Linked DNA regions of Canis lupus familiaris. The protein of the gene in region 3 interacts with the protein of the main gene of each other region in a biochemical or structural test. Links are inferred from orthologs where the notes say so. Each region holds a gene or a part of one and is shown on either strand. Other genes may lie near its edges. The genes, in order: DDX19B, NXF1 and NUP214.

The links.
Region 1: the proteins of NUP214 (region 3) and DDX19B are reported together in a solved structure, tested with the Homo sapiens proteins (2 studies listed by IntAct, with this or other methods). The link is inferred for Canis lupus familiaris from reciprocal best matches to the Homo sapiens genes NUP214 and DDX19B.
Region 2: the proteins of NUP214 (region 3) and NXF1 form a complex in vitro, tested with the Homo sapiens proteins (4 studies listed by BioGRID and IntAct). The link is inferred for Canis lupus familiaris from reciprocal best matches to the Homo sapiens genes NUP214 and NXF1.

The regions. Positions count from the first base shown.
Region 1 is NC_049226.1:76,904,726-76,914,267, reverse strand, and holds the end of DDX19B (ATP-dependent RNA helicase DDX19B), read right to left. Parts: intron 7,659-9,542; coding exon 7,481-7,658; intron 7,123-7,480; coding exon 6,885-7,122; intron 6,330-6,884; coding exon 6,167-6,329; intron 5,718-6,166; coding exon 5,526-5,717; intron 5,109-5,525; coding exon 5,047-5,108; 3' UTR 4,203-5,046; downstream 1-4,202. UniProt on the Homo sapiens protein: ATP-dependent RNA helicase involved in mRNA export from the nucleus.
Region 2 is NC_049239.1:54,404,254-54,414,301, forward strand, and holds the start of NXF1 (nuclear RNA export factor 1), read left to right. Parts: upstream 1-57; 5' UTR 58-190; coding exon 191-218; intron 219-1,751; coding exon 1,752-1,935; intron 1,936-2,153; coding exon 2,154-2,307; intron 2,308-3,499; coding exon 3,500-3,583; intron 3,584-3,693; coding exon 3,694-3,798; intron 3,799-3,894; coding exon 3,895-3,975; intron 3,976-4,084; coding exon 4,085-4,154; intron 4,155-4,297; coding exon 4,298-4,386; intron 4,387-4,513; coding exon 4,514-4,621; intron 4,622-4,776; coding exon 4,777-4,886; intron 4,887-6,683; coding exon 6,684-6,720; intron 6,721-7,020; coding exon 7,021-7,089; intron 7,090-7,172; coding exon 7,173-7,228; intron 7,229-7,357; coding exon 7,358-7,465; intron 7,466-7,580; coding exon 7,581-7,639; intron 7,640-7,754; coding exon 7,755-7,870; intron 7,871-7,989; coding exon 7,990-8,032; intron 8,033-8,598; coding exon 8,599-8,671; intron 8,672-9,172; coding exon 9,173-9,355; intron 9,356-10,023; and 1 more.
Region 3 is NC_049230.1:53,021,890-53,031,937, forward strand, and holds part of NUP214 (nuclear pore complex protein Nup214), read right to left. Parts: intron 9,424-10,048; coding exon 9,225-9,423; intron 8,352-9,224; coding exon 8,281-8,351; intron 7,894-8,280; coding exon of another isoform or gene 7,824-7,893; intron 7,125-7,823; coding exon 7,061-7,124; intron 6,599-7,060; coding exon 6,495-6,598; intron 5,447-6,494; coding exon 5,340-5,446; intron 4,689-5,339; coding exon 4,622-4,688; intron 1,580-4,621; coding exon 1,453-1,579; intron 351-1,452; coding exon 189-350; intron 1-188. UniProt on the Homo sapiens protein: Part of the nuclear pore complex. Has a critical role in nucleocytoplasmic transport.

The DNA.
Region 1 (9,542 bases), on a different chromosome or scaffold from region 3:
CAGAAGCCACTGAGAATCCCACTCTTCTCCAGACCAGAGACTGAGAAGGACACATTCTCCTGAAACTGCAGACTAGACAGTTTCCTCCCCTAAGTTAGATTCACCTAGACTGGGCAATGAGAACCTAATGCATTAACATTTTTTAATGCATTCTGCACAATTTACTTGTATCACCTAAGTGGATTCTCAAAACATTACTACCGTTATTTCTTTTTTTTTTTTTTTTAATTTTTATTTATTTATGATAGTCACACAGAGAGAGAGAGAGAGAGAGAGGCAGAGACATAGGCAGAGGGAGAAGCAGGCTCCATGCACTGGGAGCCTGACGTGGGATTCGATCCCGGGTCTCCAGGATCGCGCCCTGGGCCAAAGGCAGGCGCTAAACTGCTGCGCCACCCAGGGATCCCTCTACCGTTATTTCCATTTTACAAATAAGGAAATTAAGGTTCAGAGAAGTAAACTTTTCCAAGGTATCATATGACCTAATGAGTGGCAAATCTAGGATCTGAATTCAGGGCAACCTAGTTTCAAAAAGCACTGGGCAAGAAAACCAAAAACTAAGGGCAGAGTGAAGGGCCAGTGTTCCTGGGACCCCTTCCTGGGGCACTTTCTAATTAGCCCTTTGGGCCTAGGTGAGCTTAAACTGCATCTTCCATGGAATTACCTGATCACATGATTATTTCAGCTTCATCATTCAACGGCGAATCCTGTGGGGATCCTACCTGTTCTGTTCACATTTGGTTCCCCAGCATCTCACCCAGAGCAGGGACACCTTAAACAGTTGTTGAATTAGCTAGTGAATGAAATCAATGAATGAACTAGTGATCAACAAATTGACCATCTCTCACGGACACACCTGTCTCTTGGCGTCATTTCTTCTGGTGAATGGGTACAGGGATTTATACTGCTTGTGCCAGTGGTAGGAGTAGGCCTGATAGGATGGTGGCTCTGCTGTAGGAACTCCTTTTCCTTCATGTTGCCTCTATGTGCAGGAAGCAACGGGAGGGGAATGGGAAGAGGGATGGTGTAAGGATTCAGAAAATAAGAATAATGGCAGGAGCCAGACTAAGTTTGTATTTGGCCCACAAAGGTCTAAAGAGTAGTTTATAATGAGTACAAAAAAATTGTATGAAAAAGTGATTGGGGATAATATGTGTAAAACATATTCCATGTTTTCATTCGTTAACACATTAGCAAATTTCTCTGTAAAACACATCCTGAAAGTGCCACTTTTATAGGTCAACAGCTGTCCAACAGTCCCATTTCATTTGGTTCAACCTGATAGAAGGTGGTGCCACAGATATTTCAAGCGACTCCCATCAGAAGCTATTTATTTCCCCACTATCTCTGCGCTGGCCTAGTGATTTGCTTTGACTAAAAGAATGTGACAGAAGTGCACTGGGGAGTTCTAAGCCAAGGCTTCAAGAGAACTTAGAACTTCTGCTTTCCTTTTTTAGAACCCAGAGACCATCTACCATATTATGAAGATGGAAGACCATGTGGAGGAACCCAGCTGTTTCAGCTGAGCCCAGACAACAGCCAGGGGAATACAGCTGCGGAAGTGAGCCTAGGAGAGACCAGGAGAGCCACCAGACTAAGTTGTTTTGACCTATTGTTTTGGGGTGATGTGTTACATAGCATTGGATGATACAAAAGGACTTGGTGATTATTGGTTGGGGAGCAGGAAGTTCCTGATGAATCCAGATTTCTGCCTCAGGCCAGACAATTATAATGCCATTTCATGAGATAAAGGAAAAGCCAAGAGCAGAACATGAGTTTTTTGGAGTGGTGATGTTTGGTGGTAGTACAAGATGATAGGTTCAATTTTGGATATATTGAGTACATGGTTCCTTGAAGACATCCCAAGTGCAAGTGCCATGTGGGCAGTTGTTTCTACAACCCTGGAGCTCAAAAACTGGGTCTTGGTATAGATTTTGGAATTGTCAGCAGAAAGAAAGCCAGAGGAATGAACAAGATTCCCCACAGTAGAGAAAGAAGAAGAAATGACCCAAAACAGAGCTATGAGGAACACTCACAATGGCCAGAGTAAAGGAAGACCAATGAGTGTGGTGTGTCACTTCAGTTATCAGAAGAATGGTTAGAGGAAGGGACTGTTTATATTGTTAAATGCTGTTGAGGGGTCAAATATAATGTGTTTTTTTGGGGCCCCTGAGTGGTGCAGTTGATTGAGCATCTGACTCTTGGTTTCGGCTCAGGTCATGAGATCAAGCCCTACGTTGGGCTCTAAGCCAAGTGGGGAGTCCACCTCTCCACCACCCCATCCTTACCCCTCTCCTTGGGTATATTTCAGTTTTGCAAGATCCAAGAGATGGATAGTGGTGGGTGGTGGTTGTACATTATGAATGTATTTAATATACTGTACACCTAAAAATGGTTAAGATGGTAAACTTGTTGTATTTTATTTTTCGTTATGTGTATTATACTGCTACACACATACGAGGGAAAATTGATGGGGAACCCGCTAGTGGGGTGGGAGAGGTTGAAAATATGAGATGGAGTAGATGGAGCAAGTCCTTAAACAGCCACAGGAGAGGGTGCATTTATAGAGAAATTTAGATAGTAGGGACTTCTCCTGTTGTAACAGGAGGGCAAAGGAAGGGTAGGTGTGCTTGGGGGAGTGTCCTTGTGTTGATTGTTGACTCCAAGTATGGAGATAATGGGGTTGGAAGTTTGAGGTGAGTGAAAGTCTTAAAATGGTCACTGGTCAGAGTGGAAGAGTTAACCAGAAAAGAATAATGAGGGGCACCTGCATGGCTTAGTTTAGTTAAGTGTCTGACTTTTGGTGTCAGATTTTGATCTCAGGGTTGTTAGTTCAAGCCCTACATTGGGCTCCATGCTGTGGGTTAGGATAGGACTAATGAACTATGAGGCTCAAGGTACTGCAGCTGTTTCTGAAGTTGTCCCCTCCATGTGCATTAAGTATGAAATCAGATGAATAGAACATTATTTGTCCCTCTAGCATAACCTTATTTGTTTTAGAAATTAAAGCAGTGCCAAAACACTGGGACCTATTCTGTTGTTAAACTTGTACTCAATTGGCATTGGTTTATCAGGACATTTCTTGTGCAAATTAGAAGCTTTGGTGTCTGAGGAACACAGACCAGAGGACAACCCTCCTAGGACACCTGACCAGGGCTGACTCATGGTCTTTCAAATCTAAGCATATGGTCGTGTGTTCTCAGGGATAAGCTACCTAAGGGTACTTGGCTTTTCTCCTATTAGGAGAATTCCAAGGATGGTGGAAACATGGGTAAAGATAGAACAGTATAGTTGTAAAGATTCACAAAATATGTACTGGTACTTCCATCATCCCCGCCCCATCCCCTAGCTGCTTAGATTTAAGGCTATGCAGTTGTCAGGAAGAAGGGAATGTAGTCAGCCTGTAGCCTGTAAGGAGTCTATACTCCTTTAATTCCTGCCTTTGTTTTAGTTATTTCAGGGTTGGTCCACAGCCCAGCAGGGGGTGGGAGACAGAATTTCTTCTCTTTTTATAAGACTCCCAAGGTGGGTCAGAGTTGGCCAGAATCAGAAAAGACTATGAATGGCCACTGGGGAAATGTGGCAGGAGTGGCAGTTTTTGGTCTCTCTGTATTTAATGTCAGATTAAGGAAACCACTTGGAGGCTGGCATGGATCCCTTCCCTGCCTAGGAAACCAGTCTGGCCCTAAAACATGGAAATGCTTATAAGGATAGTCTGGGATTAGAATGACATAAAATCCCTCTTCCAGGCCTGGGCCTAGACAAAGTACCCGTTCTGTATCAAGGTCAAAGAGATAGAGAAGACTTCATGTTGCTGGGGTTTCATCTCATCTTTGCTCTGTAACTCTGTGGATACCATCAGCCTTAGCCAGGTAAGAGGAAGCGTTCATTACTAACATTTGTTCTGACTATTCTGCACAAAGATGCCCAGTAAGGAGGGAGCCAAGTCCTTGGCATTGACTCCCGCTTTGTGCAGGTGAATGGCCATAGTCTTAGTTCCTTATTGCGCTATGTGTATTCCAAGAAATGTGAACACATATTCAAAATCACTTTACAACCAAGACATCAAATACCTGAAATGATACCCCAGCTCTGACAAATGTTGCCTTCTGGGATCTGGAGACAAAGCAAGTATTTGTGACTACTGCTGATTCACTTCTGGAGTTGCCTTCAGGCTGTCTGTGAATGACTTGAAGCCACAGTTTTCACTGAGGATCCAAACCTTAGATCACCTTTTATTTGATTGAGGCTAAGGGGCAAGGGTGACATTAGGGATTATAAAGAAGATGCTGCAAGTGCCTGTGAGCCCAGGTTGTATGGTAAGTGAGGGCCACCACTTAACTCTCCATGAAGACTTCTCCACAGGCTTTAAGCACAGGCAAGGGATCCACTGATAATCAGATGTGCACTATACATACATTGCCCTGCTGATGAAAACCAGGTCATGGTCCTGCAACACAAACCTGCAAGCACCAAAAGTCCCAGGGTGGCAATTTGGCTCATGGTTAGCAAATCCCTTCTACTGTGGAGCTGACAACACTCAGATGCGCTGCCCCACCCTAAATCCAAAACACCAGCTCACAGGCCTCATCCCATACTCCAAACGTGATGGCTGGCTTACACACCTATCCCAGTTAGGGCTTCTGTCTGTCTTCACCTCTCTTCTGTCTAGAGGCTATTCTGAACACTTGTGGCCCTCTGGCTGGGCGGTGGCAAGGGCTGCCACAAGCATCTTGAGCAAGTGATTAATTAGCTACAGCTTAAAGGTGGGGGAAATGGCCAAAAAGAAGATGGAATTTCCAAAAGGTAAATTTCTGTGTATTCACGCCTAATCTTCAAAAGTTGTATAAACAATTTTTTTCTACCTCCCCCCATCATTTGCACAATTTTTGTCTAGTCCAAACGTAATTTAAAATGAGGTAGGTAGTTTCTCTCTCCTCTGCCTCCTCTTTGTGGTAACTGTCGAGGCCTGTGCCGTGAAAGCACTAGTCTTCCGTGCAGGTGGAGTGAGTGCCAGGCGTGGGCACTGGTGACTGGTGGAGCTTCTCAGTTGGCTATCTTCTCAATCTCGTCCAAATCATCTGTGTCCAATCTTTCTATTTTCTTATCTGGGGAGGAAGATGAGAATTCAAAGAGAAATCAACATGGGGCTACCACAGAGACCCACCCCTAGGGAAGGGACAGCATGGCACAGGGAGAGGAAACAGGGTTCTGCCCTGCCTAGGGATGGGCCATGCCTCTGGCCACAGCGACCTTTCACTTAAGCCCAAAGACTCCCAGTGCCCGAGCAAGGGACAGAGCCCCAGGCCCCTGAGGCTGGCCAAGGGGGAACTGTCATTTGCATCCCTGACCCTGAAAACTCACCAGGTGTGCTCTTGGAGGACTTCCCTATTGTAGGGAAGGAGGGGACTGTGTTGGGGACAAAGGCCTTTCTTGGGGCCACAGGAGAATCTACCCTTCACCCCCTCCCTTGGACTCGCCCCTGTAAGGAGAGGGCACCAGCAGAGACACTCCCAGGCACTCACTAAAATGCTCCTGGATTCTGTTGAGGATGTTCATGCTGTGCTTGCTGTCAACCATGTTCACTGCCAGGCCCCTCTTGCCAAAGCGGCCTGTGCGCCCGATCCTGTGCAGGTAGGTCTCGTTGTCCGGGTTCCCGTCCTTGTCCACGGGAAGGTCAAAGTTGATGACGACAGAAACCTGCTCGACATCAATACCTGCATGAAAGAGGTGGAGAGGTCAGGAAGGGAGACAAAATCACCACCAGCCAAGCAAGGCCAACATACACCAGCTTCATGTGGAAGAAGAGTCTGGGGCAGGTTGGCTCTGGGATTTGGGGCCAAGGGGCACCTAGCAGAATCCAGAGGGAAAGACAACTTTGGCAGGGTGCCAACAGAATTAGGACATCAGTAATGCAGCCAGAACCTCACTGGGGGCCCCAAAGAGAAGGTGCCATTCTGGACCAGTGAGGTGCCTGTCCCTGTCCTTCCACCACATCAGGGCCCCTGGCTTCTGTGACAATTCTCATCTGCTGGGGGAATCCAGTCTCTCCCAGGAAAGAATGCCAGCACCAAGCCCATGTGGACTCGCCCCGAACCAGCAGAGCGCCCCATACAGGAGGACTTCCCTTGCTACCCAGGGCCTGGCGGACAGATTCTCTGCTCACCGCGGGCACACACGTTGGTGGTCACCAGCACCTTCTCCTTGCCCTCTCGGAAGCGCTCAATCACCGCAGCCCTCTGCTCCACCATCATTTCGCCACTCAGCAGGGCCACCTGGTGGCCTTCTTTTGAGAGCTCTGCTGCCAGCCAGCTAGCTGTTTTGCGGGTCTGGAGTGAACAGAATGGTTTTAAATGAAGATACCTGTTAAAAAAAAAAAAAAAGGTACCTGCAAAAAAGTGGCTTGTTGCCATTAAAATACATGAAGACCTGCTGAGTTCAGTCAACAGGATAGGCTTACCAATTTCACAAATAATTTTAGCCAAGTGAAAATTTTTTTTGGATGAATTACTTAAATCATCTTAGCATTCAGCAAGGAAGAGTGGTGTGATCCAAAGATCTTCATTCCCAAATAGTCTATATTCTTAATGTTTTATAATTATTTCATTGGATGTTATTTAGAGTTTTTCCCAAGTAATCTCTAAGAAGTGGGACCAACCAAAGAAAGTATAGTTCTTCACAATCTTTCCCTAACTTATTACAGTCTGAGGAGAATATTCCCTGGGGCAGGTGGAGGTGATTCATTTCCTTTCCGGCCACACCAGGCCACACCGAGCCCCTGGTCCTCCCTCAGCACCTAGTTGGAGCTGGCTGTGAGGAGGGGCAGGCACCTCCTCCAGGGCAGCTCCTCCCCCACCAGGCCTGCTGCTGCCACTGCTACTCACATGGCAGAAGATCATGGCCTGAGCAATGGTGATGGCCCCGTAGAGGTTACACAGGGCCTGGAACTTCTCATCTCTGTTATTGCACAGGACGTAATACTGCTTGATGGTGTCCAGTGTCTCCTCCTCACGCTTGAGTTTGATAATGTTTGGATCTGGGACCACTTTCTGGGCAAATTTCCATACAGAGTCTTCGAAGGTGGCAGAGAAAAGCAGCATCTGGCAGTCCTTGGGCAGCATCCTGCAAGGGAAGACCCAGGTATGTGGCATGATCCCGAGTCTTTCCCTGGAAGGAACAGAAGACAGCTGCCCCGGGCTTGGGTGATCCACATGCCCAGGAGAGTGGCAGAAGGGGGAGGAGAACAGCAGGGAGGAGGCGAGAGCAGCCATGGGGCAGGGACAGGGCTGGTGTTAAGATTCCCTAAATCTCCTTCCTCAACCCGTGGTCAATGCTGACGAGGATATGGCCCATCAAACAAACGCTTCTGGAAGTACAAAAGTAAAGAAGCTAACAGGAGCAAGAAGAGTGTTTGAAGTAAAAGGAGAAGATGCTGCAGATCAGGAAGCTGAGAAGTTCCTCTTGGCTCAAGAGTTCCTACCTCTGGATGCGGATGCTCTGATCTTGGTGGCCCTGAGTAGCTATCATCACGTCAGCCTCATCCAGAACAAACACCTTGATCTTCTTGGGGTCAATGAACTTGAGCTTGGAGCACCAGTCCAGAACAGTCCCAGGGGTGCCAATGACAATGTGCTCACTGATCTTCTGACCTCTTTCCACTGTGGAGACAAGACGTTTTCTGTGGGTATTTCCATGGTAAGTTCAGCTTTCCTCTCTGAGAAAACCTAAAGGCATGATGTATTTTAATGCAATTGTTTGATGTTTGCATTAATATCTTAAGGAAAGGTTATATCACTATAGTATTTAATAATGCTGTAAAGACAAAATAAGGATAAAAACAGTGACAAGATGAAAGTCTCTTCAGTAGCGTTCTTGTCCATTCTCTGTAGTCCTCCAGTTCTCCTTCATTCAGATCTGTCGTTACCTTTATTTCTTCTCTGGCAACAGCATTCCCCCAGCCCAGGATTGCACTTCCTCACAAACAGACTTCCACTGCTCTTTCCAGTGCACTCTGCCCCTCAGCTACCTTAGTATCTACATCAAACTAGTCGGTTGCCTTTATGTACTCCCTGCCCAGGTCAGAAAATAGGATTCATCATGAATGGCTTTGCTTTCTCCAAGAAACACCTACTACCTCTCCTAGATGAAGTGCTTCCCTAGACAAGGCCTGGCAAGCTATGGCACATTCTTGACCATGTACAGTCTGAAGCTGAGATTTGGCTTTTCATTTTTAATTACATGGCACTTATACATTGAATTTAAGTCCTTTCATTACAACCTTGACCTGACATATACAAGCTCCCTGTAATCACTGCCAAAAGTTTGCCCAAATATAAATGTTGAGTCAGTTCAAAGCCAATAAATGCTGCTGCTTCTGTTAATCCAATTACTGCCTTCCACAAAAGTTGCATTCTAACTTCAACCGAAACTGCAAAATTTTAAATGTCTTATGATCATCTTCCACTAAGTTTTATAATCTTACTTTTTAGAAGCAACTTCAAGTTGGTATTAGGACATTATATGCTGAGTGGATTTCTGAGAGTCATAGTTACAGGTTTGTGTTAAAACATTCATAGCCAAACTCTCAACAACACTTTTTAAATATTGTTAATTTGTTGCAAAACAGAAGTAGGAAAGGTGAATAAAGAGAAAAGAATAATACAAATAAGCTTCAAAAAAAAAACAGGCAAAATCTTTTTTTTTAATTTTTATTTATTTATGATAGTCACACAGAGAGAGAGAGAGAGGCAGAGACATAGGCAGAGGGAGAAGCAGGCTCCATGCACCGGGAGGCCGACGTGGGATTCGATCCCGGGTCTCCAGGATCGCGCCCTGGGCCAAAGGCAGGCGCTAAACCGCTGCACCACCCAGGGATCCCTAGGCAAAATCTTAAATACAGAGAACAAACATGTCTGCCAGAGGGGAGGTAGGTTGGGTGGGGTGAAATAAAGATGATTATTCTTTACATTTATTACACTTATTTTGATGAGAATTGAGAAAAATATAGAACTGCTGAATCACTGTATAGCTAACATTAATAAAACACTGTATGTTAATTATAATTTTAAAAAATTAGATGCCAGAATTATCATGAATATTCTAGAACATTTTTGTTCTAATTAACATTAAAAAGAAATTAGGCAATTAAATTCAGAATGTGTAGCATTTAATAAGCAACTGATTTGGCCTGTTTAAATCTTTTTTTTTTTTTAAGATTTTTAATTTATTCATGAGACACACACACAGAGAGGCAGAGACACAGGCAGAGGGAGAAGCAGGCTCCATCCAGCGTGCCCAATGTGGACTCGATCCCAGGTCTCCAGGATCACGCCCAGGGCTGAAGGCGGCGCTAAACCACTGAGCCACCCGGGCTGCCCTGATTTGGCCTGTTTAATTAAAGTCAAATGTACTAGGGAGAAGAGAAGGTGAAGGAACTATTCTAATTTTTTTTTTAAAGATTTTATTTATTTATTCATGAGAAACAGAGAGAGAGAGGCAGAGACACAGGCAGAGGGAGAAGCAGGCTCCACACAGGGAGCCTG
Region 2 (10,048 bases), on a different chromosome or scaffold from region 3:
TGCGCACGCGCAGCGGCCGCGCTCCCCGGCGGCTCCGCCCACCACCGCGGACGTCGGCGGCGCGCGACGTAGTTCGCAGCATAAATGCGGCGGCGCCGGCGGTAGGAGCGCTTCGGCCCGGGCGCCCGGGTGTTCGCGCGTTCGGCGGAGTTCGGCCCGCGCCTGAGCCGGCCTCGCTTCTCGCTGCGCCATGGCGGACGAGGGGAAGGCCTACAACGGTCAGTGCTGGTCGTCAGGCGGGGGCGAGGCGATCGGGGGCCCGGTGGGCGGCGCCGGTGTAGGCCGCAGCCCCGCGGCGGGAGGGGCGGGAGGCGCGGGAGGCGCGGGAGGCGCGGGAGGGGCGGCGGCGCGGGAGGGGCGGGGGCGAGGCCGAGGCCGCCTGCGGGTCGGGCCGCACTCGAGCGGGGCGCCGGCCGTGTTGACGCGGGAATCGTGGCGTTGCGCGGAGCTTCGGCCCGGGGCTGCGGCCTGGCCGGGGGGGGGCGATTCCTTTGAACTTTGTGGGTGGTGATGCCTGTCAGTTGGATTTGGCGCCCGGACTCTGCCTTTAATAGGAGTCCGTGCCCGGCTCATCGGCTCCCTGTGTCGTTTCCCACCGCGTCCGGTCTCTTGTCCCGCGTCCCCTGCGGCCTTGGCTTTGGCTTTAGTATTCTAGACTTCCACACCGGTTCGCTGTGCTCGCCCGAACACTACGCACGGTTTTAGTCCGGAGGAGTGGTGAGGAGGAGCACATGACAGCCGGGTTGAGTCCTGAGTCGTCTTCCCCGAGCTTGAGGGAATTCCACTCCCAGGCCTCATTTTCTATCTCCGTAGGAGGTGGTGACCGTACTTACTTCCTGGGTTTGCCCTCCTGTTCAACGAGATCATTCGTATCAAGTGCCCGGGGCATAGTGCCTGGCACTGAAGAAAGTTCTCAGTGAATGTTTGCTGCGCCTTATATTCAGTTGTGGTGTTTTGTTTTGTTTTTTGCCCTCCCCCCCGCCCCCCGTCATTTCTTAAGGTTCATTGTTTGCAGAACACTAGGCATGAGGCGTTTGGGGAGTCAGGGACCTTTTTGTAAGATGCTATTCTTACACCCCAGGATTCAGAGGGTCATGTTCCAGGGGAGCAGTCCAGGACCCTTGGCTAAGCTCCCTAGTTGCCACTAGAACCTGAATCTTAGGAGTTGTCTCCTAAGTTAAAAAAGCATTTTTTGCCAAGGAAATAAACAGCTCATTCCCAAAAGTTCAGAGTGGCAGTTTGAGAACAAGAATTTTAAAGAAGCCCTTAATTTTATTTGTAACTGACGCTTGTACTCTGCGCAAGGGAAGCTTTGTTTACTGAGAGCTGATGTGATCGTCGTGATTGGTTGATTTAGGAGATGTTGAGCGAGGTCACCATCCAAGTTTTGAGAAGGCTTAAATAGATTTGGGAAACTAAGAGCAAGCAGATTTCAGGTGACTTTTCAGGGGTCTAGTTCCACACTGGGTCCATATTCTACTCACACTTCCACATTGTGCCTTTCCCGGTCTGTAAGTTCCAGTTCCTGAGTCCTTTTTCTAAAGCCCTGCCCTGTCTTCCAGTGATGTTTCGCTCCTGCTGCCATGCCACAGAGAGGGTTCTCCTCTCAACAGACAGAAGTTTGCATGGAGGTGGGCTCTGTAGTTGGTGTGTATCTCATTTGATAGCACAGGCTGCTTGCTACTGTGATTCCCACAGCAGGGTAGCTGGGCTGACAGCATGTTTCTAATGGATGTCCTTTTTAACCCCAGAGCATGATGACCGTGTTAGTTTCCCTCAAAGAAGAAAGAAAGGCCGGGGTCCTTTCCGGTGGAAGTATGGCGAGGGGAACCGGAGGTCTGGAAGAGGAGGTTCTGGCATTCGGTCTTCCCGCCTGGAGGAAGATGACAGAGATGTGGCAATGAGTGATGCCCAGGATGTTCCCCGAATACGACAGTAAGCGACCAATTGATCTGGTTTGAGAGCTCAAACCAGATTTATTTATATAGCTTTCTGCTGCCCACACCATTTCCCTTCTCACCTGGAAAAGTGAGGGATGTCAGGGCCAGTTTAATGGTTAAATAGTTTTAGCTATAATCCTGACAACAGTGTGGGAAGCCTTTGAGAAGACATTCCTAGTGTTTGCGGACATTTTATTCTCTGCTTCCCCACAGCAACCCCTATCCTCCCCGACCCAACCGTCGAGGTGACAGTTGGCATGATCGAGATCGCATTCATGTTACTGTGCGGAGAGACAGAATTCTTCCAGAGAGAGGAGGGGCTGGCACCAGCCAGGATGGGACCTCGAAGAACTGGTTTAAGATTACAGTGAGTGTCTGGGGTGCCTGGGTGGCTCAGTCAGTTTAGTGTCTGTCCTACACTTGATTTCATCTCAGGTCATGATCTCAAGGTCATGAGATCAAGCCCCACGTCACCTCTGTGCTGGGCATGGAGCCAGCTTGAGATTCCTATTCTTTCTCTTCCTCCCTCCTCCTCTCCCATTCCCTCTCCCCTCCCCCCTCCCCCTAAAAAGAGATTACACTGAGTGTCTGGGGAAGTAGATGGTGCAAGGGAGATAGGGGGCTGGGCTCAGCGTGTAGGTCTTTACTTTTCACACAACAAAATCAATCTTCACTGTTTTCTCCACAGTCGGGTGTCCAGCCTTTCTCCTAGAACACCTAAGAGCAGGTTCAGAAAAGGAGTTAGAGGGGGGATAAGCAGGATGAGGGGGATGGGGACACCATCTAAAGGGAAATGTGGGGGGCAGCCTGGGTGGCCCAGCGGTTTAGCGCCGCCTTCAGCCCAGGGTGTGATCCTGGAGACCCGGGATCGAGTCCCACGTCGGCTTCCCTGCATGGAGCCTGCTTCTCCCTCTGCCTGTGTCTCTAATAAATAAGTAAAATATTATAAATAAGTAAATAAATAAATAAGTAAATAAATAAATGGAAATGTGCTAACTGGTTGGGAGGTGGAGTAACCCATCCAAATGTCTCTATCTGGCTCAAGCCCAGTATGGGGCTTGGGGTCCCTTAAGTTCTCTGAGGGGTGGGCCAGGTCTAAATCATATCTAAGAACTTTTAGAACCAAATAGTTTGGGGAACCTGGGTGGCTCAGTCGGTTAAGCATCTGCCTTCATCTCAGGTCATGATCCAAGGGTCTTCGGATCAAACCCCAGCAGGGAGCCTGCTTCTCCCTCTCACTCTGCCTGCCCCTCCCCCTGATTGAGCGCGCGCGCTCTCTCTCTCTCTCTCTCTCTCTCTCTGTGTTAAATAAATAAATAAATGAAATCTTAAATTTAAAAAAGGAACCACATAGTTCTATTTTCTTGAAAAATACTAAGTTTAAATGGGCAGAAAGGAAGGTAAGGAATCTGTGTCTGACTTGAGTAAAAAAAAAAAAAACTTTTAACTGGCCCTTCCTTTAGGAAATGTCATAGAAGTTGGCAGAAGGTGTGAAAGGAGCACTAGGTTGAGTCTGTTGGTCAGCCTTTATTACATGATATTCCTTCTCTCTCATCTAGATTCCCTATGGGAGAAAATATGACAAGTCATGGCTCCTGAGTGTGATTCAGAGCAAGTGCAGTGTCCCTTTCACCCCCATTGAGGTGAGATAAGGCCCAGGTGGCTGACTGGGCACCAAGGAAGGTGAGGGGCCAGCTGGACCAGGGGCCCCAGGCTCCCAGTCTCATGCTCTTGTTTCTTCCTCTTTGTGCAGTTTCACTATGAAAACACACGGGCCCAGTTTTTTGTGGAGGATGCCAGTACCGCCTCTGCATTGAAAGCTGTCAACTATAAGATTTTGGATCAGGAAAACCGAAGGGTGTGTGTAAAGGGCCTGGCTTGGCTGGAGTTGGGTCGTGGTCCTGTGGCTTAGGCTTTCCCAGAATTCACCTTGCTCTCTGTGTCTTCCCTGCAGATATCTATCATCATCAACTCCTCTGTCCCACCCCATTCTGTACAGAACGAACTGAAGCCAGAACAAGTAGAGCAACTAAAGGTGAGGCAGGCTCACGTCATGTGTCTCCTCTCTAGTTCCACCAGTTCTCACATCCACAACCCCTCTGCACAACCCGAGTGACCGCTGACCCCTTTTCCTTCTCCTGTAGCTGATCATGAGCAAACGATACGATGGTTCCCAACAAGCACTTGACCTCAAGGGTCTCCGTTCAGACCCAGGTATGACTAGCAGCGGTCATTCTCAGAGAGGTGGAGGCAGAGGGGGGTCTGTCGGGCGGGGAAAGTTTGAGAATAGTTTGGTATGAACTCTGACGTGGGAAAGTCCTCTCAGACTTCCTCTCTTTCCTTTATGCTGCCTGAAGACTTGGTGGCCCAGAACATCGATGTTGTCCTGAATCGCAGGAGCTGTATGGCGGCTACGCTGCGAATCATTGAGGAGAATATCCCTGAGGTGAGGCTTTTGTCCTGCTTAGAGATGGGAGGAGGCAGAGTGGGACAGGTAGAATGGGGCTAGGAGGCAGATGTGTCTCCGAATCCTTTGTTGGCAGTGCTTCCTCTAATCCTTTCTCTGCCTGTAGCTCTTGTCCTTGAACTTGAGCAACAATAGGCTCTACAGGCTGGATGACATGTCCAGCCTTGTGCAGAAAGCACCCAACCTGAAGATCCTCAACCTCTCCGGAAATGAGGTGAGACCTGAGGGTCTGGTTATGTTGTGTGGGGCGGTGAGTAGAGGGTGCAGAGGGCTCGCCTGCTGACAGCAGAAGGCACGGTGTGGGGATCTCACTGGCTCGGCTCCCTCATTGGGGTCTCCTGCCCACTCTCTCTGCCCTCCTCTCCGCAGTTGAAATCTGAGAGGGAACTGGACAAGGTAAAAGGGCTGAAGCTGGAAGAGCTGTGGCTTGACGGAAACCCGCTGTGCGACACCTTCCGAGATCAGTCCACCTACATCAGGTCAGTTGTAGCCTCTGTCTCCCCTCCTGGGGACCTTCACCCCCTGGGAGGCTGAGCTAATGTACCCTGACCAGTGCCCGTCTGCAGGAGATGTGCAGCCCTGAGCTGGAACCACCTGTCCTTTGGGAGGATCACATGCTCCTCCCTTCGTCTGTCTGTGTGTCCCAGTTTGGCCCCGAGGTCTCCTTACCTTCCTTCTCACCTGACTACCTGTTTGCTGTTCTGTGGTCTTTCCTCTTCCCAAACACAGCCTTTTCTAGAGTCTCCCTACTCTCCTGTTCCAGGAAGGGCATCTCCTGCTTTGTGGCATGACCATGGGGTATCTGTCATCTGCCCCATACATGGAGCTGCCTTATGCAAGAGCCTGCTGTCCCAGGGCTGAGAAAGCCTTTCTGCCCTGGGACTTCCTGTTGATGGGCCTTTCCTTCTTTGTTCTGCGCTAGCCCCTCTTGCCGTTTGGCCAAGAGGGACTCTCTTCTCACGGTCCACGTGCCCAAGGCCACCGTTGCCTGGGCTTTCTCCCTCATGCTGAGGTTGAGGCCTCCTCGGAGCTGGTGCCATGCATTCTGTCTCTCTTGCCTGGAGCTGTGTGAGCTGGGCCCTCCCTGGAGAAGAAACCTGGGTTCCCCAAGCTGTGTGAGCAGAGCTGGGGCCCCGCCGGCAGGCGAGGGAAGCCCAAGGCAGGTGCTGGGCGTGGAGGCCACGGGGGCATAGACTGCGGAGGAGACAGAGCACTGACCCTCTTGGGGGCGCTGCCCCGCCCTCACTCGCACACCTCACGTCACCCTGCTTGGCCCCGGAGGATGGCTGGTTAGCCAGAGACGGGTAAGATTCCTCAGGGAAGGAACAACCTAAGACAGGCACAGTCGCAGAGGGGCCATCAGGAGAGAACTTGGGGGCCAACAGAGGTGGGGCACAGACCCTCACCCCCCCAACTCTGCAGGGGCCTGAACCCTCACCCCTCCTGAGGGAGGTCTCCTGCCCCCATGGCTGCTTCACATCCCACGCCCAGCTCAGATTGGGACCCAGGTAGCAGACAGAGACCTGGCCAACAGCAACTGCCCTCCGGCCGCAGCGAGAATTTGTTTCCCGTCTGTACCTTGGACCAGGGAAAGAAGGGGCAGCTGAAGGAAAAGGCTGTGTCGGGTGTCCTCTTCCCTTTTTTCTTCCTTGTTTTTCCTAAGGCCTCCTTTGGCCTTTGCTTTCTTTCTTTTTACTCTCTCCCCTCCTCTGTGTCCCCATCTCTCCCTGGCCTTGGCCCCATCCTCCCTTCTCTCTTTCTCTTCTTCTCCTTCTCCATCTTCTTCCTTCACCTCTTCCTGACCCCCTACCTTGCTCATTTCCCTGCCCCAACATCCTGTGCCATCCCTGTGGTGTGTTCTGGTCTTGGCTATGGCCAGGCTGGGCAGAACTGATGGATACCTGTTGAGGCAGCGGAGCCCCTGGGCTCCCACCCCATTCCCTCCTCCCGGGGCTGCACAGGTGAGTAGGTGGAAGGTAAGGGGGGCAGGGAGGGGAAGGAGGTCCTGGCTTAAAGCCTGGGCTGGGAGTGCTGCTCTTGTGGCGCTCGGGTCAGGCAGCAAGAAGAGCGTCTGCCTTCAAGGCGGTTGTTTCTGGGTGCCCCGGGTGAAGTGGGGAGTGGGGCCTCTTTCCCCAGAGCTCAGAGGCTGGGGAGGAGTGAGAGGACAAGCAGGACGGGGTGGCTAATCCCTTGGGTGTTGGAGTATTTGCTCCTAGAGCAGCTCAGGAGGCACGGTGGCTCTGAAGCATCACTCACTTCTGTCCCGTTTTTGACAGCGCCATTCGAGAACGATTTCCCAAATTATTACGCCTGGTAAGTCCATAACTTTTTCAGTTCTTTTTAATGACCATAGGCTCTCCCTCCCAAAAGGTCTTTGCTCACGTGGGTTTGTAGGACCGTTAACTTGGAGACCTGGAGCCCTTTGAGAATCTGGCAAAAGCTATAATCCTTAGAAAAAGACCAGTAGACAAGAGTCACATCTCTTAGGGTCCCTGAGCCTTTTCCACGTCTCCTAGACACTTTGATCTCTGACTCCTCATTCCTGGTTCGCCCGTCTCATTACTTCTCAAGCCTTTTCTCTCTGGTTATGCTGTCGATTTCCACTTTCCCCAGGATGGCCATGAGTTACCCCCGCCAATTGCCTTTGATGTCGAAGCCCCCACGATGTTACCGCCCTGCAAGGTAAGAAGGGGGGATAGAGTTTGAACTTGTGTTGTGTCAGGTAAATAAGAGTGACGTGGTCCTGATAACCTGTGTGATTCCAGGGAAGCTATTTTGGGACAGAGACCCTGAAGAACCTGGTCCTGCACTTCCTGCAGCAGTGAGTATTGCAGGGCCCCTGAGGCTGGGAGAGGAGGGCTAGCTAGCCCCAGCACAGCTGACCCTCGGGAGCAGTCAGGTTCCCCTCCACACCACGGGGCTCAGGCTTTCCCTTTTGTTTTCTCCACAGGTACTATGCAGTTTACGACTCTGGAGACCGGCAGCGGCTACTAGATGCCTACCACGATGGGGCCTGCTGCTCCCTCAGCATTCCCTTCACCCCCCAGAACCCTGCCCGGTGAGTATCCCTGCCCAGAGCCTGCCCAGGACCAGCATCTCTCAGCAGCTGCAGGCAAGCGCCCGCCAGCACTCCTACTGCTCTGAGCCCTGCCTTTCTCCGCTTATTCCTCTAGAAGCAATCTGGCCGAGTACTTCAAGGATAGCAGGAATGTGAAGAAGCTCAAAGACCCGAGTAAGTGTGTGATGTGAAGGGGGCAGGGCAGCATGGGAAGGGGGGCAGATGGGACTTGGTCACAGGGTCCAGGAGACTGTGGTAGCTGCTAATCTTGAATTCTCCTCTCGCACAGCCCTGCGGTTCCGGCTGCTGAAGCACACACGTCTCAACGTGGTGGCCTTCCTCAATGAGTTGCCCAAAACTCAGCATGACGTCAATTCCTTCGTGGTAGACATAAGCGCCCAGACCGTAAGCACCTGTTTCTGCTGCTACAGAAGCCTGAACTGGGTGAAGGGGCAGGTACAAGGCATGGGGACCTCAGGCTCGGGCTGGAGCCTGTGTGCTGACCAGCGCCTCTTCTCTTTCAGAGTACGTTGCTGTGTTTTTCTGTCAACGGGGTCTTCAAAGAAGGTGAGAATCTTTGGAGTTTGGGGTGTGCAGAGTGGGCCCTCCCGCAGCTAGTTTTGTTCTCAGCACTCTCCATTCCCTTCCTTCTCCTTCCTGAGCTCCTCCTGTTCTGCCCAGGCCATCTCCATGAGGCCTACCATCTCCACCTGTCTTTTCTGTCTGGGAAATGGGACAAGTCTGAGGATGAGGACACAGACTTTGGGGTCAGGCAGTAGTGAGTTTCTATTCCAGCCTTGGTCCCATGTGGGCAACTTATGTTATCTCTGAGTCTCAAATTCTTGATTTGTAAAAGGGGGTTAGTGATAGCCATGTCATAGGGTGCTGTGGGGAGCCAGTGAAGTGCCTGACACAGGAGCTGGCTCACTAATACTCCTGGCGGGCTAACTGTGGTGGTGGTTGTCCTCCCTGGCCTCTGACACTCCTCTTCCCCTCTGCTCCCCTGGATGCTCATAATCATCAGTCTAGTCTACTTCAGTTTAGTTGTATCAAGTAAGACCATGATTGGAGAAGCTTTTTGTAAACATGGCGTAGCTGATTCTAAGGGGTCTTTGCCGTTGTTGACATTGCAGTGGATGGAAAGTCTCGGGATTCTTTACGAGCCTTCACCCGGACATTTGTCGCTGTTCCTGCCAGCAATTCAGGGTAAGTGTTTGGCTTTCCACATGGGTTCCCAGTCCCAATCCATGGCCAGCAAATGGGAGTTGGTGGGGGAGGCGTAGGGGAGCCAGTCCTCAGGATGTTTTCAGAATTTCAGAAAGCTGAGGGGGAATCAAGAGGAGGCTGTCACAGTGGTGGTGAGCTTAGCTCTGGAGCCAGATTGTCTGGATTTTTCATCCTGGCAAGTTTCCTCATCTAGAAACTAGTATAAGCTACCTACTAACTACTTCCTTGGTCTGTTGTGAAGATAAATGGGGAGAAGAACTGTCCTGAATTGGAGGAAATGTGTAATTCTAATGTTTGGCAGCTAACCCTATACTCAGGTTCTGTGGGAAGGGGCATAAATGATAAAAGGCAATGACCAAGAATGGGCAGGAGGACTTTGGGGATATTGAAAAAAATCTGTCAAGTGTGAGAACAGGAGTAATTTTGGGAAGATGAGGTTGGCTGGCTGTCCAGCTGTTTAAAGTGCTTTTTGTCCCAAAGACTGTGCATCGTAAATGACGAGCTATTTGTGCGGAATGCCAGCGCTGATGAGATCCAGAGAGCCTTCGCCATGCCTGCACCTACACCTTCCTCCAGTCCAGTGCCCACCCTGTCCCCAGAGCAGCAGGAAATGCTGCAGGCATTCTCTACCCAGTCTGGCATGAATCTTGAATGGTCCCAGAAGTAAGTGCTGGGCATGTGTAAGAATAGGGGTAAATGGAGGTAGGGGTGGGAATGAGTAAGGAGTGCTCCTTGGGGGATCCCTGGGTGGCTCAGTGGTGATCCTGGAGTCCCGGGATAGAGTCCGTCCCGCATTGGGCTCCCTGCATGGAGCCTGCTACTACTCCCTCTGCCTGTGTCTCTGCCTCTCTCTCTTTCTCTGTGTGTGTGTTTTTCATGATTAAATAAATCAAATCCTAAAAAAAAAAAAAAAAAACCTAAAAAAAAAAAAAAAAGTGCTGCTTAAATTTTAAAAGCCAAAATTTATAAATATGGCCCATAAAAAATTTTGGCCTATGCCTACATCAGCATAACAAACTTTTTGTATTTTTTTTTTTTTTAAGATTTTTATTCATAAGAGACACAGAGAGAGAGGCAGGAGGGAGAAGCAGGCTCCATGCAGGGAGCTAGATGTAGGGGACTCGATCCCAGGTCTCCAGGATCACACCCTGGGCTGAAGGTGGTGGCATTAAACCACTGAGCAACCCGGGCTGCCCTACTGTTTTTAATACTGTTCTACAAGTTACTTTTTTTGCTTATCCCATTATTGTCTTTCCCTATCACTATAAAAATTACCTTAGTAATCTTGATCCATTATTTAATACTTCTTTGTATCCAATAGACCAGTGATAGACATTTGGATTTTTACTAATTTTT
Region 3 (10,048 bases):
TTGGAGAATAAAGCTTGTGGGTGAGAGGATGCAAGAATGTGCGTGTGTTCAAGGAAAAGTCCCTGCTTCGTTCAGACTGGCTCAAGGAAGAGGATCATTATGTGTCCCTACACAGTGTTCATCCCTGGGGATGGTCCAGAACGAGCCCATGGCACTCCCTCTGTGACAGAGCAGAAAGAGGCACGTACCTGACGACTTGGGTTGTCGCTCTCCTTCTAACGAGAGCCGCTCTGGCATCTTGATGAGGGACCTAACCCCGGGATTTTGATTGATCATATAAAATGGACAGAGCACACCGTCTGTTGAAAGTAACATAAGAACTGGAGCAGGAGGAAGAGTTTTCTCATCATCTGTTAAGAAAATAAGCACAAGTGAAAAATGAACCAAGTCCCGAAGGCAAAGACTATTCTAAGCAAGAAGGCTATAGTAGACTTGCCCCAACAGTAGCTCAAGACTGTTTGCTCTGATTCATATCTGAACAGCCTCGAGAGCACTGGCTCTTGAAAGAGAACTACTGCCATTCTCAGTGGCTACCATCATGCCAGACCCTGCAGGGAAGTTCCAGTAGTCCTATGGCAGCTGTGACTGTCCCTGAGCTCCTGAGACTTTGACGAGTGTCTCAGGGTTCATGATGTCCCAAGACAGGTGTCTCTAGGAGGGGGCTGGCCTAGCAGAAAAGTGACAGACTACACACTTTGGAAAATACACAGGACGTAGAAAGGTAAGTCAAACTACTTTATATTCATTCACAGTTCAATCCTAAGATGTATTTTGTCAATTAGGACTTGAAGAGACTCAGAATAAATGAACTAAGGAGACCAAATAATCTTACCAGGGAAAGGACAGGAAGGAACTTAGTGGTGCTCAACAATGACACCTCTCTAAATTGAAGTACCAAAGAGCATAGGGCATGAGTTCCACTATACTGGTGCATCTCACAGACTGCAGCCCTATCTCGCTCCAAGAGAGAAGACCCATTCATAGCACAAATTCAGGCCTGCCCTGGAAGCCAAGTGCTTGAGGTCCCCATTCTCTGATCTGTGTCTTTAAACCAAGCACTGTTACGCAGTACTGAACTAGGGTGCTGTTTCTGTGGGAGGCCGCTGGGAAACTGGAATGCTTGGAGAAACAAGGCAATGAGACCCTTCTGTTCTAGATTTCACCTATACATGAAAGCACACAGAGATAGGCATGCGTGAGTGTACACACGGGTGCGCACACACACAGGCACGCACACACACACACGCACAGAGTCTGGCTTTTGTCTTATCAATGAATGTCAATCAAGTTAATCTAGTGGCGTCACAATGCACTCTGTATCATTCTTCAAGTAGCAATGCACTACCAGGAGTTAAGTGCCCCGCAGAGTAGATTCTGTCATGAACACGCAGAACAGGATTTCAATATCAACCACGACCACTTTTGCACTGAGCTACATCAGGCCACACTTACTGAGGGTGATTTCCACTTGATTAGTATAGTCTATGGCAACTCCCACAGGCAGCGAGTCATCACTCTTGTCTGTCACAGGCAGTTCAGCTCGACTGGAATCCTCTAGGAGCCAAGATTCCCAATTAATCTGGAAAAAAGAAGTAAAGATGAAAAAGCTATGTTGGTTAGAGCTTTGCAATGGTCCTCCCATATTTCAAAAAGGAGAGAAGACAATTCACTTGGTTTAGATTTATGTGTTGACCAGACTCTGAAATTTGGAAAGATGGTCTAAAAGCAACGGGCATCCTAGCAAGTGAGGGGTTAATTTTCCAAATTAACCCATGTGTTACTGGTATACCAAGTACCTGCCTTGTGAATAACCACTATCGTGAACACTTTCCCAAGTACTGTCTACCCCAACTAGGTACATTCCTAAACGTGGTGGATAAATCTAATACCTGCACCAAACAGTTATTAGCTGCTCCTGGAAATGTGGGATTGGCACAAGGAACTCCAGTTGATTGCTACTGTGGTCTTGAGCAATGTGGCTTGTAGGGCTGGCCAGATGCCCTATGCCCACTTGTTAATGGACAGAATTACCCTTAGTTCTTATCCTCCCAGATCTTGGCATCTGTTCCTCCCATGGGGCCCTTCCTGCCTTCAGGGTTCTTGAGAAACCACTGAGTCTTTCCAATAAACTCTTCTGCTTATGTCTGTGCTTGAATGGGCTATATTCCTGCCAATACATGATTTGATTTTTTTTTAAAGATTTTATTTATTCACTCTGAGAGACACAGAGAGAGGTGCAGAGACACAGGCAGAGGGAGAAGCAGGATCCTTGCAAGAAGCACTCATATGGGACTTGATCCTGGGATCACGCCCTGAGCCGAAGGCAGACGTTCAACTGCTGATCCACCCAGGCATCCCTATGATCTGATTTTTAAAAACCACACATTTGTCTAACTTTCAGTGTTGACCAAAACTGGGCAGCACAACTCAAAAGGAAATAATGCTCTATGAATAACAGAGAGAAAACAAAAAGCCCTTCAGGAAAGGGAATGTAATCATACTCCATGACTTAGCTATGGTGTGAATAATAATTGCATTCATAATAATGTAAATAAAGTTGATATCAAGTTTGAAAAACAATCTATAGGACAGCCTTGCTGGCACAGCGGTTTAGCGCCGCCTGCAGCCCACGGCATGATCCTGGAGACCCGGGATCGAATCCCACGTCGGGCTCCCTGCATGGAGCCTGCTTCTCTCTCTGCCTCTCTCTCTTTCTCTCGCTCTGTATCTCTCATGAGTAAATAAAATAAAATATTAAAAAAAAGAAAAACAATCTATAGACAAAATAAAGAAAACTTAATAATTACTACAGAACAGAATACAACAGTACCAGTTTTGATTCTGCAAAAGACAAGCTACAGATGAGAACAGCAGTGAGGTGGGAGCGGGGAAGGTATGCTAAAGGCGAGAGTGGGAGAGAAGGTATTCCTCTCACAAAGTAGAGAGTCAAGAGATACTGGGTATAGTGATAACTAAGAAATGGAAGATTAAAAGTATTACTTACAGTTACAAAGGTAACCAGCAGAAGAAACTACAACAGTGCTGTAACCCCGTTGAAGGGAAAGGAGGATTTGAGGGCCATATGTAAGCTATATTGTTATCTACCACAACACCTAAGGTCTAAAACAAATAATCGTTAACTAGTGATGAAGCAGATTATTATTTGTTTTTAGAGGTCGGGAGGGGCAAAGTGAGAGAGAATCTTAAGCAGACTCCATGCCCAGTGCAGAGCCTGACACAGGACTCGATCTCCAACCCTGAGATCACAATGTGAGCCAAAATTCAGTCAGACGTTTACCCAACTGAGCCACCCAGGTGCCCTTAAGATTATTTAGGGATAAGGAGGTAATCTTTAAAAGCAAAAATTTACAAGTTAAAAAAGTTCCCCTCTAACCAGGGCTGGATAAGGATGGAGTAGGCAGGGGTAATCTTTTTTTTTTCTTTTATAAATCCTTTCCACTACGTCATTTTTTAGTCATGTACATAAATTATCCTGATAAAAAACAAAAATACAAGTACATTTTAAACGTGTCAGTACATAAGATAGCTGTGCTCATAGGAAATTGCTCTTAAAGACAATCTAAGGCTTCACATCAGACTAACTCTGGCCTGTGACCCCAAAGCGCTCATCCTAGATACTATGAGAGCCATGTACTTATAGTGGACCACCCTGCCACCCAGAGAATGAGGGATAAATACTGAATGATTGGAGAGGTCTAAGTCTCTGTGTGTGGGGCGCATACAACATTTTTAAACTCAAGGCAGAGTTTTAAGCAGAAAAGTTTCCTGGGGCACCTGGGTGGTAAGAGTTAAAACTGCCTCTCAGTTTCAGCTCAGGTTGTGATCTTGGGATTGTGGGATAGAGCCCTGTGTCAGGCTCTGTGCTCAGCCCAGTCTGCCTGAGTTTTTCTCTCCCTCTGTGCACACTCTTTCTTGCTCTAATAAATCTTAAAAAAAAAAAAAAAAAAAAAAAAGTTTCCCTTTTATCACGTCCTTCTGTGGTCACTGTACATAACCTACCTTGGTTGAGGATGGGTTACCACAATCACCTCAGCCCAATTCTTGTCTGCAAGGACAGAGCGCAAGAAGGGAGGTGGGTGCTTACACACATGAGTGCTTTTAGCTCTTGGGTGGTTTTTCAAAGTGAAATAGAAAGTATTGCTGGTGAGTCGCAATTTGATATGGTCTGCATGTTTCTCTCCATTAGTCAAGGATGGGTTAGAGGTAACTGAACGGAAGGGGCAGGTTCAAGCAACAGGAAGTAAATAAAGGTGGTGAAACAGAACAAGGCAGAAAATCCTCCTACACACCCAGGTGTGCTCCTGTGGGAAGCTGATTATATCTATGCTTCCACAGATCGTGAGTGGATCCTGAAAGGACAGAAGAGCTTTTTAAGACAGTGGGGGAGCTGCTGAGTTTGAAACCCACATCTGTCCCATGCAAAATCCAAGCCACATGGCCCAAGGCACTCCGTCACATCAGCCAAGTGTCAGCTTTGCTCTCATCCAGAAACTCATTCAAAAGGATGTGGCTTCATCTAAACTTTCACCACATAGTTAACTCCTCCAAGAATCTTTCTCAGAAAAGTGTCACATAAAAGTGACCGAAGAGTGAAATTTACCTGATCTGTCTGTCGAGCAAGGATACTGACTTCTGTTGAAGCTGCAGATGCTGCCAGCACTAAATCCCTTGAAAGAACAAAAGCAGGAGACTGTTAAATTCAAACGTAGCAACAATTCTAACCCAACTTGAGCCTGCGGTGGCGTCCATGAGGACTTCCGTGTGATGTCAAGGAGGAAGGTGAGGTCTTCTACATGGCTGAAGAAAGGTGAGAAGATTTTAGATGTAAAGTTTAACTTCTTAGTTCATTAGGATAAAGCCCTGGAGACTCAGCCAACTCCTTATGTATTTCTGACAAAGGTCAGAGACATGACAAAATCCAGTCAGAATTTCCATTAAGTCTACTGCCCTGTAAACAGAAAGATCTGGTGAAATCGTGGACAGAAGCTTTGCTTCAAGCTATCTATCTTTCAAGGGGAAGTTTTTGCTCTCAAAGGGACACATTTAATACATTCCTTAAATATCATATTGTCATAAGTCATCACTGGGGTTATTGAGAAAATGGGGTTTTTAAGATTAGTAAGTATTCAATCCAGATAATTTAAGATTGGGGAAACAGAAGTAGTCAGAGGCATTATCCAGCCTCAGAGGAAAATATGTTCAAGGGCATAAATTCTCTATTCTCCTTCCCTACAGAAAAGAATCTCAAAGTGGGAACAAAGCAATGCAGGTAGGACCCGACAGAGAGAGAAGGAATCCATTCTGGGTTCTCAGCTCACCATTCTTCAATGTAACTGAGGTAGTAATGGTGCTGCCTCTCCGTGCAGCTGCCATAGCAGGGCTCCATAAAGTTCACAAATATCTCTGGGTGTTTTTCTTCTTTTTTCTACAATAAACAAAAGGAGAAAAAAAATCCCACATGCAATTTTTCTTTAATTCTACACAGTTAAAGAATCTCAAAAACTAAAACCATTTACACTTTATGAGAAAATTCACTCAAAAATCCCTGTCCAGGGACACCTGGGTGGCTCATCAGTTTAGCATCTGCCTTCGGCTCAGGGCATGATCCTGAGGTCCAGGATCGAGTCCCGCATCGAGCTCCTTGCAAGGAGCCTGCTTCTCCCTCTGTCTATGTCTCTGCCTCTCTCTTTCTCATGAATATTAAAAAAAAAAAAAAAAAAAAAAAAAAAAAACTCTGTCCAAATATATAGACATCCTATAAAGACAGAGTTGAGTAATACAAGGAATATGAGCCGTGGCCACTAACTGAACTGGATTCAAACTGTTTTTTCACTTTCTGGCCATGGAACAGGCATGGATGGACTGCTCACTTCTCTGATAATTTTTCTAGGGTCTGTGGTGGGCCTGATGAACTTACTCCACACTCTGTCTTAAGCGTGGAACAAAATGATACATATGAAGAGTTTAGCCCAGAACATGGAACCTAAGAAGGAGTCAATAAATGCCAAAGCTAATCTGATCTCTGGGAATAGAAAATCTTAAGTTCTTAAAATAAGGACCTCAAAAACATATTTTTAAAATTCAACTTTGTCAGGAACACTGTAATTTTGGCCCTCAGGCAACGGGACAGCATTCAAGTTTTACGCTTGAAGTTGTACCATCCCTGCCAGCAAAAAAAGGAAACTAAAGCCTAACCCTAGAACTTTATTAGAAGACCTCTATGATTCCCAAAGGATAAAGATGTCCTTTTCTTTCTTTCTTTTTTTTTTTTAAAGATTTTATTTATTTATGACAGAGAGAGAGAGAGAGAGAGAGAGAGGCAGAGACACAGGCAGAGGCAAAAGCCAGGTTCCATGCAGGGAGCCTGACGTGGGACTCGATCCTGGGCCTCCAGGATCACACCCTGGGCTGAAGGCGGCGCTAAACCACTGAGCCACACGGGGCTGCCAAAGATGTCCCTTTCACACACATACCGGGAGGAGAGCCATCACCACATCTGGAGAAGTTTCCAAGGTCCCATCCGCAGCAGCATACACAATTGTGAAGACATAAGTACCGATCCACAGCACATCCAGAACTGAAATACACACACTTTAATAAAGCATCTTATGTTTGGAATAGCCCCCATATGTTCAAAAAATTATCAGCCCATGGATAAAAGAGACCGAGTGCTATAGTTCTAAAAGGTCCAGATTTCACTGACTGAATATAATTCACAAATACAAAGAATTCAAGAAGCCCCAAATCATCCCAAAGTGGCATTTTTTTTTTCCTGGCAGAATAAAAGGATGGCAAATTTTGAAAGGATTCTAATAAAATATCAGGACCCATTTACTATTATTTACCATGAGACACAGGTGTCTACCAGAGGATTATTGTTATGCTGACTTAATTAGCCAACTATAATAATGAGAGTGTTCATGCAGGAGGCATTAACACTTCCCTGAGTGTGCAGCTGCATCACATGATGTGAAATTTCTGCAAATACTGTGTCACCTCATTAGAGGTGGACCTAGCATAAGAAAAGCAAATGGGTTACCTCTGACAGGATGATCTGACTCATAAAATGGTGGGCAAGGAATGACTTTTTTTTCCTGCAGAGTCTGAAAGAGATGGGGCGGGCGGGGGGGGGGGGGGGGGAGTATCAAATGGTCAAATGAAACAAACTTAAACCAATGAAACTCTGTCAAATCCAGTATGTTCCCCCCAGAAACCACTGTGCTTCATCTTCCCAGCCAGGAAAGAAATGAACACAGGGAATAGTGAATGACTCCATCCAGGACCCCATCCTACTGAAATCTCCCACAAATATGTTCGGGCGTAGAAAGGAGATGCTCAAGCTTATACCATTTATACTAGCAAAGCCACACACACTGACACAGACAACCACCAATAACGGAATAGAGAAGTAAATCATGGTACATCCACACCATGGACTACTACGCAGTCATTCAAAAGAATGGCTCCATATATAATATGTTGGGGAAAAGGACCTTGATAAAGTATTATGTTTAAGACAAAAAAGGCAAAGAGCAAACCAATAAAATTAAGCCAGTTATCTTTTTAGAGGCTACCGCCCTAAGAGTATGTACCAAATCTCATATAACAACTTTCTGTAATAACAAGAAATAAAAGCTTCACCTCAAACCCATAAACTACATTCTCTGCTTTACACCCAAGAACAGTCTCTCAAGGAAGAATGGACAGCAACACAGGCCTCAGAACTGCCTGTGGAACCCTCCTTCCCATCCATGCCTGATGTAACATATATGGATTCTATGTCAATTTATATTGAATAATACCTGTGATGATATCAGGAAGACCCCAGGGAGAGGATGACAGAGTGACAGGGGCATCCATTGTCTCGGGTGCCTAGAGTTGAAGAAACTGAATCTTTCAGATGGACTCGGCTACCAAATAATGCTATGCCTTAACTGTTTTGATGGAATGTTTAGATAACACTGCGTAGAATATGACCAGCGTGTATGGTAGACATGTAATGCATCTATACACTATTTGTATAAGCATCCAGAAATGTCTAGAGGCTGCCACTAAATAAAACACAGAGAGAGCCTCTAGAAGGACTATGGGATAGAAAGGGAAGAGTTCCACCCTTTCCTGCATTCACTAGTTTACTGATGAATTTGTTGCAGTGAGCATGAATTACATTTTAACAGAAAAAACCCTAATGAGCTCCCAAACCATCCCAAAAACAGTACATAACTTAAGAAAAGTGCTGAAGTCCAAGGCAACACTTACAGGAAGATACTGGACCACAGTTCCATTCTGCTTCCCCACTGCCAGCTGCTTTCCTTTGGGGCTCCAGCACACTGAGCAAAGAAGAAAATGCTGCCAATTAAGAACTGAAGAGAATGGAGCAAACCATAGAGGTCTGTACTGAAACAGCCATATAACCACCACTTCCTGTTCCTCTGTCAGTCCATGGGAGACAGGAGGATCATCCTTATTTGGCAAAAGTCCAAAAAAATTCCTTTTGTTGATACAAACCAATTACGACTTATCACTGGACCATTAAATCAACTGCTAAAAATCTGTTTTCGGGATCCCTGGGTGGCGCAGCGGTTTGGCGCCTGCCTTTGGCCCAGGGCGCGATCCTGGAGACCCGGGATCGAATCCCACGTCAGGCTCCCAGTGCATGGAGCCTGCTTCTCCCTCTGCCTGTGTCTCTGCCTCTCTCTCTCTCTCTCTCTCTCTGTGACTATCCTAAATAAATAAATAAAATATTAAAAAAAAAAAATCTGTTTTCAATAGAGTGTTGTCCAGAAAGCTGGAAAATACAAAAACTCTGTTATCTTTAGGTAAGGAGAATAGAGGTTTTCAAGTATCAAGAAATCATTCTCTTACTCCTATCCAAGATTTATAATGCTCTTCCCGCAGAGGTAAAAATGACTTCCAGTGTACCATCCACACCACCCCTTTGGGTCCAGAAACAGTCATTCTCAAAAACACATTTCTAAACCATCTGTACCAAAATATTTCTTTCTCCAAAAACCCTAAGCACATTCAAGTTAAATCAACTCTGCTGTTTGGTATCAAACATTATGGAAATAAAGAACACTTTCTGCTTCTACCAAACAACAACAGATACAACAAAAAACCCCATTTGCATTTATTTCAGGAAATTAATTTTTAAGGAGATTACCATCACTGTATGTTACAGAGTGAAAGCCTTTATTACCCACCAGATGTTACTGCCACTGTGGAAGGGAGAGTCGCACACACTTTCACTGTTTCTGTGATTTGTAGGACAGCAATGCTGCCATCGGCCAGACAAACTGCCATCATGGAGGGAACAGTGGGGTTCCACTTCATATCGATCACCATGCCTCCTGCATCTTTCAAAAGCTTATGATAGGCAAATGGGCGTTTTTGCTGTTTAGCCTTTTAAAACAAATGCCCAGAAGCAAAAATAAATTGATAAATTAATAAATACATAGACATTTAACAGTCAAAGAAAATTATTGAATATGTATTCTTAAATTACTTCACTTTTCTCCATGGCCATGACCAAAAAAAAAAAAAAAAAAAGAGCTTTACACAACAGTATATTTGTTACAGACAATTTCAACACAACTTTGGAAAACAGCAGTCAATTATTCTAGCACACTGAGGGACTCTCAGCAAGGGAATACACAAATGCAAAATAATAGGTAAAGAGCAAATACTAGATTAAAATCTTGGCTCTGCTTAATAGTGTTGGGTTCTTGAACGTTTAAATTCTTTGGGCCTGTTTCTTCATTTATAAAATGAAGACAACAGCACCTACTTTGTGAGGCCGTGGTATATACGAATAAGGACAAGGCATATAAAGCATCAGTACAGAGCTGGGCACACAGTATAAATACTCAAATTGGGGCAACTGGGTGGCTCAGTTAAGTGTCTGACTTGGTTTTAGCTCAGGTCATGATCTCAGGGTCCTGAGATCAGTCCACATGTCAGGCTCTCAGCTCAGAGACCATTTGTCCCTCTCCTGCTCCTTCCCTCTTTCTCTCTCTCTCATAAACAA